Linked DNA regions of Macaca mulatta. The protein of the gene in region 3 interacts with the protein of the main gene of each other region in a biochemical or structural test. Links are inferred from orthologs where the notes say so. Each region holds a gene or a part of one and is shown on either strand. Other genes may lie near its edges.

What was found.
Region 1: of the proteins of STAT3 (region 3) and MAPK8, one has a biochemical effect on the other in vitro, tested with the Homo sapiens proteins (2 studies listed by BioGRID). The link is inferred for Macaca mulatta from reciprocal best matches to the Homo sapiens genes STAT3 and MAPK8.
Region 2: of the proteins of STAT3 (region 3) and PTPN1, one has a biochemical effect on the other in vitro, tested with the Homo sapiens proteins (2 studies listed by BioGRID and IntAct). The link is inferred for Macaca mulatta from reciprocal best matches to the Homo sapiens genes STAT3 and PTPN1.

Annotation. Positions count from the first base shown.
Region 1 is NC_133414.1:60,853,032-60,856,968, forward strand, and holds the start of MAPK8 (mitogen-activated protein kinase 8), read right to left. Parts: upstream 2,801-3,937; 5' UTR 2,657-2,800; intron 1,387-2,656; exon of another isoform or gene 1,193-1,386; intron 1-1,192. UniProt on the Homo sapiens protein: Serine/threonine-protein kinase involved in various processes such as cell proliferation, differentiation, migration, transformation and programmed cell death.
Region 2 is NC_133415.1:103,366,147-103,370,074, reverse strand, and holds the start of PTPN1 (tyrosine-protein phosphatase non-receptor type 1), read right to left. Parts: upstream 2,801-3,928; 5' UTR 2,666-2,800; coding exon 2,603-2,665; intron 1-2,602. UniProt on the Homo sapiens protein: Tyrosine-protein phosphatase which acts as a regulator of endoplasmic reticulum unfolded protein response. Mediates dephosphorylation of EIF2AK3/PERK; inactivating the protein kinase activity of EIF2AK3/PERK.
Region 3 is NC_133421.1:66,739,584-66,743,687, reverse strand, and holds the start of STAT3 (signal transducer and activator of transcription 3), read left to right. Parts: upstream 1-1,304; 5' UTR 1,305-1,471; exon of another isoform or gene 1,472-4,104. UniProt on the Homo sapiens protein: Signal transducer and transcription activator that mediates cellular responses to interleukins, KITLG/SCF, LEP and other growth factors. Once activated, recruits coactivators, such as NCOA1 or MED1, to the promoter region of the target gene.

The DNA of each region.
Region 1 (3,937 bases), on a different chromosome or scaffold from region 3:
AGGATATAGTTTCCTATTCTGCCAGGACAGGACACTTAAAAGGAGCCCTTTTCATACTTATTAAAGGAATATATTTACTAACAGAATCGATGCTATATCTCTTACTTTAAAGCATAATTTGAAGTGAAATTCAGAGTGACTGCTAATGAATATGGTGTTTCTTCTTGGGGTGATGACAATGTTCTGGAATTGGTGATGGTGATCAATGCACAACATTGTGAATATACTAAAAACCACTGAAATATATACACTCTAACAGGTGAATTTCATGTCAATTAAATTTCAATAAAGCTATTTTTAAAAACCAATAATTTGGAAAACAAAATAACACAACTCTGGTTCTTTACATAGGCTGACTGTGAGCTACTGCCAAAGGATTGTCAGTAACCCCTACTAGAAGCTGACATACCTTAACTAGGTAAAGCAATAAAACGTTGGTATCTCAAAGGTTTTCATCCCTCATCTTAAAAAAGTATCATTTTCTTATTTCTTCATTTCCACTTTACACCAAATAATAAGAAGCTCATTAATTAGTTCACTCTTTTCGTATTCTTTCAAATCCAAAACAAACGCTAAACTGTTCAGGGAGTGGAAAAGAGCTTTAACTTGGATAAATGAATTATTTTGAGTTTTAGGATCATATTTTGTACCAATGTGTTAACACAAGTTAGAACTTAAAACCAAACATTTCAAGTAAACATTTCCAAAATATTAGAAATATTTCTAATAAAACATTTATGTGGCTTTGTCCTCAATTTTTCACAAAATGAGTCACCAAAAACCTTTCAAATAATATTCACAAAATTATAAATGCAATCATTTTAGACCCCTACTGAAATACCAGTTTATGTGTGCCTGTGTGTGCATTACGTACATACACACACAGACACACATAAACTAGTACATACACAGAAACACACACCCCACAACCTACTTTAGTTTATTAATCATATTAAAAAAACATTTAGACAAGATTTTATTTTAGGACAGTGAATGACCTACACGTGATTCAAAAGCCCATGTCATCATAACAGATAATGTACATGAACTGATCATTTAGCCATCTGAAGCGACAGTTGCATGAAGCTTCCAAAACTTTATGGAGAACATTACAGTTTTTTTTAAGGCTTGAATTTAAATATTATCAATTACAAAGAGCTTTTCATCAATCCGACTTTTATTGAACACTTACTATATTCCAGGCTAGGTGGTGGAGAAACAGATGCAAGACAGGCCTGCCCTCAAGGAAGTCCCATTTTGATTGCTTGCTTTTGTCAGGCACAGCACTAAACATGTTCACTTAGAGCATCTGACCTCCTAGGTTTAACGTTAACCACAGCAGGGGAATCTGAGGTAACCATTACAAATGACTGTAAGGCTGCAAGACTGGAAAAAATAAAATTTAGAAATAAACAAAAGCTGTTGTATATTTAGACCAAATCTAATTCTACTTCCTAACATTACACTTGAACTTCCAGATATACTGCTTAAAAAATGACCCAGAACATAACCATACCTTCCTTAACAGACATCTCTTATGTAATTCTCTCATTTAAAGGTCCATCTATTATACTTCAGTCAAAGCATCCTCTTCCATGAAAGGATACCTTCCTTTACCTTCAAACCAAACCTCTTCATCTGGGTACGGTACCGAACAGTTGTTGAATGAATGAATGAATGAAAAAACATGTTCTAATTGCCAAAGAGGTATTTGCTGGATGCCTATCTCAAAACACAATGGACTGACGGACCAGAATTCTACTGGACAGATCGCTGAATTTCAGAGGTAAAAACGGTAATCACTGGACAATGCCATGTAGTTAACATGTTATTAAATTCGCAATAAAGACCAGGCGGGGAACTTTCAGAAATAAAAACGGAAAGTGTTCATCAGGGTACTTTAAAATGGACTTGGTTCTACCATCTCTGAATCCGGAACACAAATGTGAGACAAAGAGATGGGAGGGTGGGGTGAAAAAGTCAAAAGGTCACCACCGAGTGACCCTCAAGAGAAATGTGCGCTGACCACCGAAGCTCGGGCCAAGCTGGATGGACACCTCCCACCCGAACCACGGGCCTGGGCTGTGCCTCGCAGCCCAGAGCTGCAGGCCATCCCGGCCCTTTTCAGCGCTGCTGCCTGCCTTCGCCCAGAACCTGAGCACAAAGAAACCACCGAGAAGCAAAATACGGTCCCCATGGGCGCGGGGCAGGCTTGGGGACCCGCTGGTAGAAGCCCTCTTCCCGGCTCCTCGCCGCCCCGGAGGCAGCCAGGGTGCGGCGGGCCGCGGAGACGCCTCTGTCCGACCCTTGCCGAAGTGTTTCAGAACTTGCCACCCACCCCCCCGCTATTTTCTTCTCCCGCCGCGGAGGCAGGACCCGCGCGAAGAGGACGCGAGAGGACAGGCGGGCGGGGCTCGCCGCGGCGGGCGGGCTGGCGGGTAGCAGAGCGCGCCCAGGTCCCGCAGCCCCACGCCCCCTTGGCCGGCCCCCGCCTCTGCGCCGCTATTGTTCCCGCGCCGCCCCCGCCCGCCGCGCGCTCCCGCCCCCACTCCCGGGAGGGGGTTACGGCTGAGGAGAAGGCGGCGGCAGCGGCACAATAACATAAACACGACGGGGCCGCCTGCCGCCCAGGCCCTGCGGCATCCGCCGCACTCACCCGGCAGCGCAGCGAACGGCGACAGGGAAGCCCGCCAGCGGGGACAGGGGCGGTCCGAGCGGTCGCCGCGGCCGTTACCCAGGTCTGCTCGCCGCTCCGCGATCCTAGCCGCGTCGTCCAGCCTCGGCCGCTCCGCTGAGTAACAGGGACGCGGGCCGTCACCGCGCACGCCCGCCCACGTCATCGCGCAGGGCGCCGCCCCCGCGCCTCCCGAGTGGCCTGCGGGGCGGGGCAGCCCCGGGGCCCGGATTGCGGGGGCGGGGCCGCTGGCCGGGGGCGGGGCTACTCCACGGGGCTGAGAGAACTTGCGGAGGTCGCCTGGAGGCGGAGCCGCGGAGAGAGCCTCCGAGGGCAGTGGGTGAGGGGCGTGGCCAGGAGCGGGAGGGGCGGGCCCTGTGGTGGCACGTGGCGGCGCGTGGCCCCAGGGGACTGCATCTGGTTGGCGGCGGTAGCCAGGTCGGAGCTTAAGGCTTCGGGCCTCGTCACCACAGGGTTTGAAGGGCAGGTGAGCTTAGGCCAAACTTGCGCAGCGAACAGACACCCCTTCCTGGTACACACCTGAGTGATGAAGAGCTGGTTACCTTGACCGACAGTACGTTCCATGCTGAGGACACCTGTCCGGATCCCAGCAACCTACAGAGAGATAAGTGTTCTCTTCAGCTGCCCCGGTAAAGCTTCCTCCAGTTTTTCCAAAATCCACTTCCTCCGAGATTCCTTGCAAATCCACCTCTTCCCAGATTCCTTGCATTACCTGGTTTACCTCTGAGGCCCCACAAAACGTGTAAATGTTACAGAAGCGATAAATTGACAAGCCTTTAAATATCCAACAACAGGTGGAAAGGCGTTTAAGTTACCTACATCCATGCAGTAGAATACATTTTAGCAATTTAAACGCCATGTGTTCAAGGAATTCTTAACAACACAGGAAAATGTTAACAATATATCATTAAGAGAAAGAAGCAAGAAACAAGTCTTATATATAGAACGATCCCACTTAGTTACTATATATACACATAGAAAAAACCTGGAAAGAAATACACCAAATTATGTTAGCAATGGTTCGTCATTGGACTATGGAATAAAGGGTGACTTGGTTCTCTTTTATACTTTGGGTATTTTCTCATGTTTTCCAAGAGGAATAGTTATGTTCACAATCGGAAACAAGTAAGTTACTTTAATAAAGAATATATAAATATTTGTTGAATGAATGAATGATTTCAGGTAGACTACTTTCCTATTACATGTGGGGCTGGCCTCTTTCTGGTGATTCTAAAAGCGAAC
Region 2 (3,928 bases), on a different chromosome or scaffold from region 3:
CATTAAAAATACGGTTATGCTCACTTTATCAAATTGACCTAGCAAAGAATCTCTGCCTGAAAATTTGTTTTCTAAGCCACCACATTCCTCAGCACTCAAAAGTCCTCTTCACTCTTGATTCTTTCCCCAATAGTTTTCAAGTTTTTACATCTTTTTGTTCTAATTAGAAAATAAGTTAGAATAACTGACCTGTTTACCAAGTTGTAAGCAAAAATTACATTATTTCTCTAATCACAATAGGCTAGGCAAGCTCAAAGTATGACTTTGTATAAGGCTGCCCTCATTTCGACATCTATAAAATATTAATTTTTTAAACTTCCATTTTCTATCAATTGTAAACACATTTCTTTGAATCCCTGAAAAATAATGGTTTTGGTAAACTGATACACACCTTGGAAAGTCAGCCACTTTAGACTCAAGGTCATTTGAACTCTGTTTCAGAAAACCCTACAGTTGTATGACAAAGAGTTACTTTTACACTTAGAAAGGAGAAAAGCTTCTGATTTCAAGATTCTAGAAAAGAAAAATACCCATACAGTGGAGGTGAGAAAAGCCCTCCGTGACAATTCTCCAAGACCAAAAGAAACTACCTCCGGGAATGTGGCAATCCATTAAGAAACAGTGAAAATCTCAACACCTTGACTAACTTGTGGAGTTTACTTATGGCAGAAAAACTTATGAACAATGAAGGAAATGAATTGAAGACTGACACACTCCATGCTAGTTGCATGCTTAATACAGTTTTAACAATGCTTGGGTGACAGGTCAGCCCACTCTGGCTTTAAATTGTAAGAAATAAAATTCAACTAAGAACTAAGTTACAATACGTATTTCTTGTTGTCAACTCAGTCAGTTTCAGTGGAAAGACTTCTCCACAATGCTTCCACTGTGATGGGATGTATCATAATCAACTCCAACACTTCAGATCAACAATTTTCATTTAAAGGCACTTTAGACTCTACTGCATTAAACTGATGCAGAAAATTTGTCTACACATTCTCAAAGTCACTTGTGGAATTCATTCAACTAATTCAGAGACCAGATATGGCATACAAATTTTATATACTGATCAATCATACTTATTAGTATATAGATTACAGTGGTTAGAAATATTAGTCTAGCAGAAACTAATATACACACTACAGTTCAAATAAAAAGAGTCCTGTCAAATAAGCTTGATGTAAATCCACATGAAAATCAAGGCTGCCAAAAAAAGGCTTTTGTTAGTCAAGCATACCAAAGAACTGCTTAAACCTTTTTTCCTTTCTAAGCAGTGCTCAAAATAGATTTTAATACTACAGCTGATGGATCTCACAATTTGCCTTTTGAGCCTATAAGCTGAAACCAGAATCAACTGCCGTCTCCCTTTACACAAGTAACAAAATCTCTCTATTCTGTATATCGCTTAAGATACTGTGCAAGTGTGGTTTTAGTATATCTTCACAACCCCCGCAATGACATTTAATTGGGAGTATGTATTTTCTTCAGAGGATTTAGCTGCTTGTGAAAGGAAGAGCTCTTTGTGTTTTTAACTATTTGTTTTACAGATCTATGAGAAATCCTACTTTCCTAACTTTTTAACACACAAGGAGATGAAGACTCCTAAGACAAGGTCATCTCTGCCATGACCAAAGACTAAGCTGCTCACTGAGGAAAGATGCTACTTTAGAGAGGGTTAAAACGTTAACCTTCCTGATTCCCTGCCTGAAAGGATAATATCATGGCCCCAATGGAGTGGGTACCGCAGGCCTCCTGGCTAGAAGGTTCTTTAGCCCCATATTATCATGGTTTTCTGCTCCTTTTGGTTCAGCTCACAAAGCAAATGTCTCTTCCTTTGACAGGCCTTCCCTGATCCCCTTCTCTAAGGTAGCCGGCTTTCTATGCAGTCACCCTGTACCCCGTTAGGAATTCGTTCTCTTCACAGCACTTGTCTCTATCTGAAATTATTTGCTTTTGTGTTTGATTGCCCTATTCCACTCTACGCTCCACTAAGGCTAGCATCTTGCCTGTCCTGTTTAGCAAACACCATCTCCAATGCCTAAGCGGTGCCTAGCACAGAATAAGCTCGCCAACTCCTATCCAATAAATGAATGAACAGAAAGGGGGAAGGGGACAGTCATCCCTGGGACTCGACGCACACTGAGACTAGGGAAAAGGAAATGTGAAGGAGGGAGGGGGGGAGTAACCTTTTTCCCCAGGGAGACAAAGGAAGAGAGTCTGAGGTGGTCCAGTCCAGAAAAGGAAACAGTGGGGGTGCTAAATCACCCCAGGGGACAAAGAGTGGACAGGCAGGGGGCGGGGTCGGGGTGCGAGGGATTCGCGTTGAGCACAGACAGGCGATCCCCGGCTTGAGAGATCACCCGGGCTGCAGAACAGGAGGGAGGTGGGGGATCGAAGGGGGCTCCGAGGCTGCGGCGAGAAACGGGCCCACCCCGGGGACAAAAGGGGAGGGGGACGCAGTGCGTCGCTGTCCCATCGAATCCTCAAGCAGGAGGAGCGAGGCAGAGGGCAAGACCCAGAGGGAGTCTGGAGCCTGGGGGTCTGAGGGGATGTTCAAGCGGCCTAAGCGAAGGGCCCGCCACGCTCCGGGGCGCTCCCGCACCTGGTAAATGGCCGCCCAGCTCCCGGACTTGTCGATCTGCTCGAACTCCTTTTCCATCTCCATGACGGGCCAGGGCGGCTGCTGCGCCTCCTTCTCGGCCCACTGCGCAGTCCGCCGCTCTAGGCCGCGTCGCGCTCTTGGCCCTGAGGTCCGCAGCAAGCACCGACTCCTGCCGCTACCGCCGCCCTAGCCGCCGCGGCTTCTTCATGTCAACCGGCAGCCGGAACTACGCACCGCGCCTGCCAGGGGCTCCGCCCCCGAGCAGAAGGACCAATCAGCGATCGAAAATGTCGACAAGCACTTCCGCGGGGAGGAGCCGGGGGAGGTGCTAGGGGAAGTGGCCCCAGCACCGCGAGATATCTAATTGCGCGCGCTCCCTCCTCCGCTCCGGGGCTTTGGGCTCGGGCGTGGCGCGCGCCCGTTGCTTAGGCGACCCCGGGAGCCCTGCCCACGGCGCGTGGGCTCTCCAGGCCCGGGAGGGCCTTGAGTTCCAGCCTCCGCCCGGCCCGTTGAGTCACAGAGTGAGTGGCCTTAAAGTAGTCATGCACCTCCTTTCCTGCAGGGCCTGGGCCCCGGCCTCGGTAATCCAAGCTGGAGTATGGGCGGAGGGCACCGTGCTCTATTTCCTGCCTCCCAGCTCTGGCCAGATGTCTGCCCTCTTTTCATGAAACTCAGTGTCATGTTTCACCACGCTGCTGGGGAACCCACTACTCTCTAAGGGTAGTGTCCCTGTCTGAAACGCAGAATTTCCACTTGGGTGATGCAGGAATGAATGGATAGGGATGGAAGGATTTTAAGTGTTTCCCAGAGTATCAAGGAACTCCTGCTCAGACTGAACTAAGCAGAGCACAAATTCCACGGTGCGTTATGTTAAATAAAAATCATAGGAGCCCAGGCGCGGTGGCTTATGTCTGTAATCCCAGCACTTTGGGAGGCAGAGGCAGGCGGATGCCTTGAGGCCAGGAGTTCCAGACCAGCCTGGGTAACATAATGAGAACTCGTCACTACTAAAAGTTAAAAAATTAGCCGGTGTGGTGGGGCCCAGCTGCTGGGGACTGAGGCAGGATGATCACCTGAGCCCAGAAGGTGGAAGCTGCAGTGAGCTGTTTTGGCGCCACTGCACTCCACCTTGGGTGACAGAGCGAGACCCTGTCTTGAAAAAAAAAAAAAAAGGGCTGGGTGCGGTGGCTCACACCTGTAATCCTAACACTTTGGGAGGCCGAGGTAGGTGGATCAGCTGAGGTCAGGAGTCCCAGACCAGCCTGACCAACATGGTGAAACCCGGTTTCTACCAAAAAAAAAAAAAAAAAAAAGTAACCGGGCGTG
Region 3 (4,104 bases):
ATTTTTCTCACTACAAATTAATAAGAATAGCTATCCCTGGGGAGAAGGAATGATGGGGGTAGGGAAAGATTTTCATTTAAAATTTTTTACCTTTCTGAACGGTCTGCATTTTCTAAACAGGAACATGTATTAGTTTCATTGAAAAAAAAAATGTCAGGGGTTATCTGAGCAGTGAGATAATGGGTCCTTTATAGATTTTTGTCTTTATACCGGTTCGTATTAAACAAACACAAATATTAATAACATATTTTTAAAGACCCTAAAAAAATAAAAATTAAAAACCCTGATAGTATCAGCACATACACAGAAATCACTCCATTATGCAAAATTCATCCTCTATTATGAAAGGCAAAATGTCTACATTTCCTATGAACCACTGGCTTCAATTCAGCAAAACTTGCATACCAAGTAGGCAAGGTGGAAACGAAAAAGGCGGAACATTTCATGTATTTCAATTCAGACGCATAAAAATGTCAAGCCCTACACGTATCAACTTTCGTATACACCGTCTTCTGCATTCGCCTGTACCGGCCAATGGGCTAGCTGCTCGGAGTTTGATGCTTGAAGTGATGGAACGGAGGACGGGGTTAAATCTACTATTTCTCCCCACGCACTCTAGTATTTACTCTATTTCCACGTCATGTTTCCGGGTGTGTGTGTCCCTGTTCACGCAGAAACTGAAGTTCAAAGCAGGCGGAGTCACTCATGTTCTTTTTGTTGTCCCCAGAACCCAATTCAGGTGTTGGGTCCCCAGAGGATCTGGAGATACCTGGGGACTGTCTAACTGGCTGATTCCCACGTGGTAAGAGGCTCTCAATCTCGCCACCACGTGGTGCCAAGGGCCGGGAAAAGGGAGAGCGGACAGGAGGGAGCTGTATCAGGGGCATTTAAAGTGCCTTGACGTCACGCACTGCCAGGAACTCAGCTGAGTTTTCAGCAGGACATTCCGGTCATCTTCCCTCCCTCCCCCCGGGCTTCTGTGCCCAAGTCCTCGGCTCTTCCCTCGCTGTGGCGGAGGGAGGAGCACCGAACTGTCGGAACAGCCAGCACAGGGGCGTATCAGTCTTCTCTTGGCTCCGCCCTTTCTCCTAGCTGCTCTCTTCATTGGTCAGTGGGCGGGGCTTTGTCGGTACCGCACACGCACTGGGACCTCTGGGTGGCCGAGCGAAATGGCCGTTCATGAATTATGCATGACGGCGTGCCCCGGCCAGGCTGGGGCTGGGCGGGGATTGGCTGAAGGGGCTGTAATTCAGCGGTTTCCGGAGCTGCGGCGGCGTAGACCGGGAGGGGGAGCCGGGGGTTCCGACGTAGCAGCCGAGGGAACAAGCCCCAACCGGATCCTGGACAGGCACCCCGGCTCGGCGCTGTCTCTCCCCCTCGGCTCGGATAAGCCCTCCGGCCTGAGGGAGCCCCGTCGCCCGCCCCCGGCGCACGCGCAGCCCCGGCCTCTCGGCCTCTGCTGGAGAAACAGGTGAAGGGGGTGCAGGGTGGGGCCGTCGGGGAGGCCTGGGGACCTGGGGGCGCCGCCGCGGTTGGGGGCCTCTGGGACCTTGGGGATTTTGTGATGGACGCTGCAGTGGGGCGGGGAGAGATGAGGAGACGCGGAGGGTCGCCCTGAGGGAAGACTCTTCGGGATGACAGGAGCGGGCCTCGGAAGGGACTCGGGGCGCTGGAGGGAAGTTTCGTTCTTCGGAGAAACAGTGAGAACGCGCCCGAGGGGGCACCGTGGGGCGAGGGCGCACTCGGCTGCGGCGGCAGGAGTGAGGGACAGTCCCCCGATTTCCTGCTCCCTGGAGCCCTGGGGACGTTCCGGCCGCCGGAGCGACTGTCACGCCGGCGGGGATCACCGGCGCGGGTGGGGGTCGGAAAGCGCCTCCTCCCCGCCTGGCCGGCGGCTCCCTCTGAGCCACTTCCTCCGCTTGCCCTGTTCCCGCTTCTTCAGGAGCCAGCTGTGCCCTTCTGGAGGCAGGAATAGGTGTGTCTGTCCCCTGCAGCCTCACGGGCTGGCTGGTCGCGGGTAGGCTTTATTGCATAAGAATCAAGTTTCCTGTAGGGAAATTGACAGACCGGTACTCTTTCTAAATTCCCTCCCATCTTTTTCTAGGTTAAACTATGCTCCCCTCACGCCCCCGCCATGTAAAAAAGAGGGGAAAAAAAGACAAAATCCCCGTCAACCCGTCAAGCCAGCTCTAGAGAGAGAAATAAATCTCTTGGCAATGTTCTTTTCCAAATACCTGGTAAAGTCGGCCAGAAGATAAATAATTGAGCCATTGCGTTTACTGGATTGTGGTGTTGCTTAATTGCATAGGACGGAATGAACCAATCGAGAGTGGGAGTTCTGTGTCTCAGAGCCAAGATCTTGGGTAAATGCAGAGGAGAGGGAAACAAAGACAGGCTGGCCTTGACAAAACCATGTGTGCTAAGTTTACCTGCATTTAGGGGGGTGTGGTTGCACTGAAGTTAACAAGATTCAAACCGTCGCCCAAGTTGGTATTTCCATGTTTGATACACATCACCCTGTGCCATATCAGGTCGTTGTAAGTGTGGTGACAAAATCAGTGGTTAGTCATTGTTTTTTGTTAAAAATGTGTATAGTGTGTACCTGCTGGTCTTACTGTATGTGCAACTAAAGGTTTACGTAGTCTGTGCATGGGTTGTAAATTTTTGGCTGGCTGTGCTGATAAAGCATTGGGCTTGAATAAAGCAAAGCAGAAAATCATCTCAATCTTTTATATGTGGATTTAGACTGTGCTATGACTTGATTCAGCCAGTTTTCTATTTTATTTTATATTAAATATGTCTGTGTTCTCTGAGTCAGCACATTTATTTCCTTATTACATGTTCCAGACGGGAGTGCTAGCCCAGTTTTTGTTCAGTTTGCACAGTGGGATGGGGAAACAAGTCTGGAATTAAAAAAAAAAAATGTTTTAGAGGTTGGAGCCTTGATTTTAGTCTCTGTATTAGCACATCCATCACAAAGAACCATTAGTAAATTCATGAATCTTTTGTTTTTTATGTAGTTCATTTGGGAAGAATAATCACTTAAAAATATCCACAGTGCCAGGCATGGTGGTGCACACCTCTGATCCCAGTTACTTGAAAGCTGAGGCCGGAGGATTCCTTGAGTCCAGGAGTTGAGTCTGGTCTGGGCAACATGGTGAGAGGCCAGGAATTGGGTCTAGAGTCTAGTCTAGGCAACATAATGAGAACCCGTCTCTAAGAAAGAAAGGAAAGGAAAAGAGGAAGAAAGGAAAGAAAAAGAAATACCCACAGCACAGTTATGAATTGACCCACAAAGGACTTGTGAGGTAGGTAGTTCACATAACAATTCCTCTAATATTGTAGATAAGAAAATTGAGGCCAAAGGATCAAGACACTTGCCCAAGGCGGCAGAGTGCCATAGTGGTGGAATTTGTGCCGCCTTCTGTATATTTTGTGAAAAGTATCAGTGAAATTCTTTTTTTTTTTTTTTTTGAGACGGAGTCTTGCTCTGTTGCCTAGGCTGGAGTGCAGTGGCGCAATCTTGGCTCACTGTAACCTCTGCCTCCTGGGTTCAAGTGATTCTCCTGCCTCAGCCTCCCAAGTAGCTGGGACTACAGTTGCGCACCACCACGCCCGGCTAATTTTTGTATTTTTAGTAGAGACCAGGGTTTTACCATATTGGCTAGGCTGGTCTTGAACTCCTGACCTCGTGAGCCGCCCGCCTCTGTCTCCCGAAGTGCTAGGATTACAGGTGTGAGCCACCGCACCCAGTATCAGTGAAATTCTAACATATATCTGAACAGTAAAATACCACCAACAGGCTGAAAGACTTTATGGGAGGTAAATATTCAATAAACACGTGAAAAAAGAAATACAAATGGAGCTTGCTTAGATTATTTTTCTACCTAATTGCTATGTCTAACTTGGGAAGTGAGGAACTGTTTTTGGTCAGCATAATTTACCATCAGAATTCAGCTATTTACTAATGAAAAGAAATACTAATCGTGGTTTGTTTTAGATTAAGGACAGTCATGACCTAAATGTCATTTAAACCAGAGTGCATTGTGGCTTGATCAGTGGTCATTTCTGTCTCTAGAAAGTTGCTTTAACCACCCTGCCTCT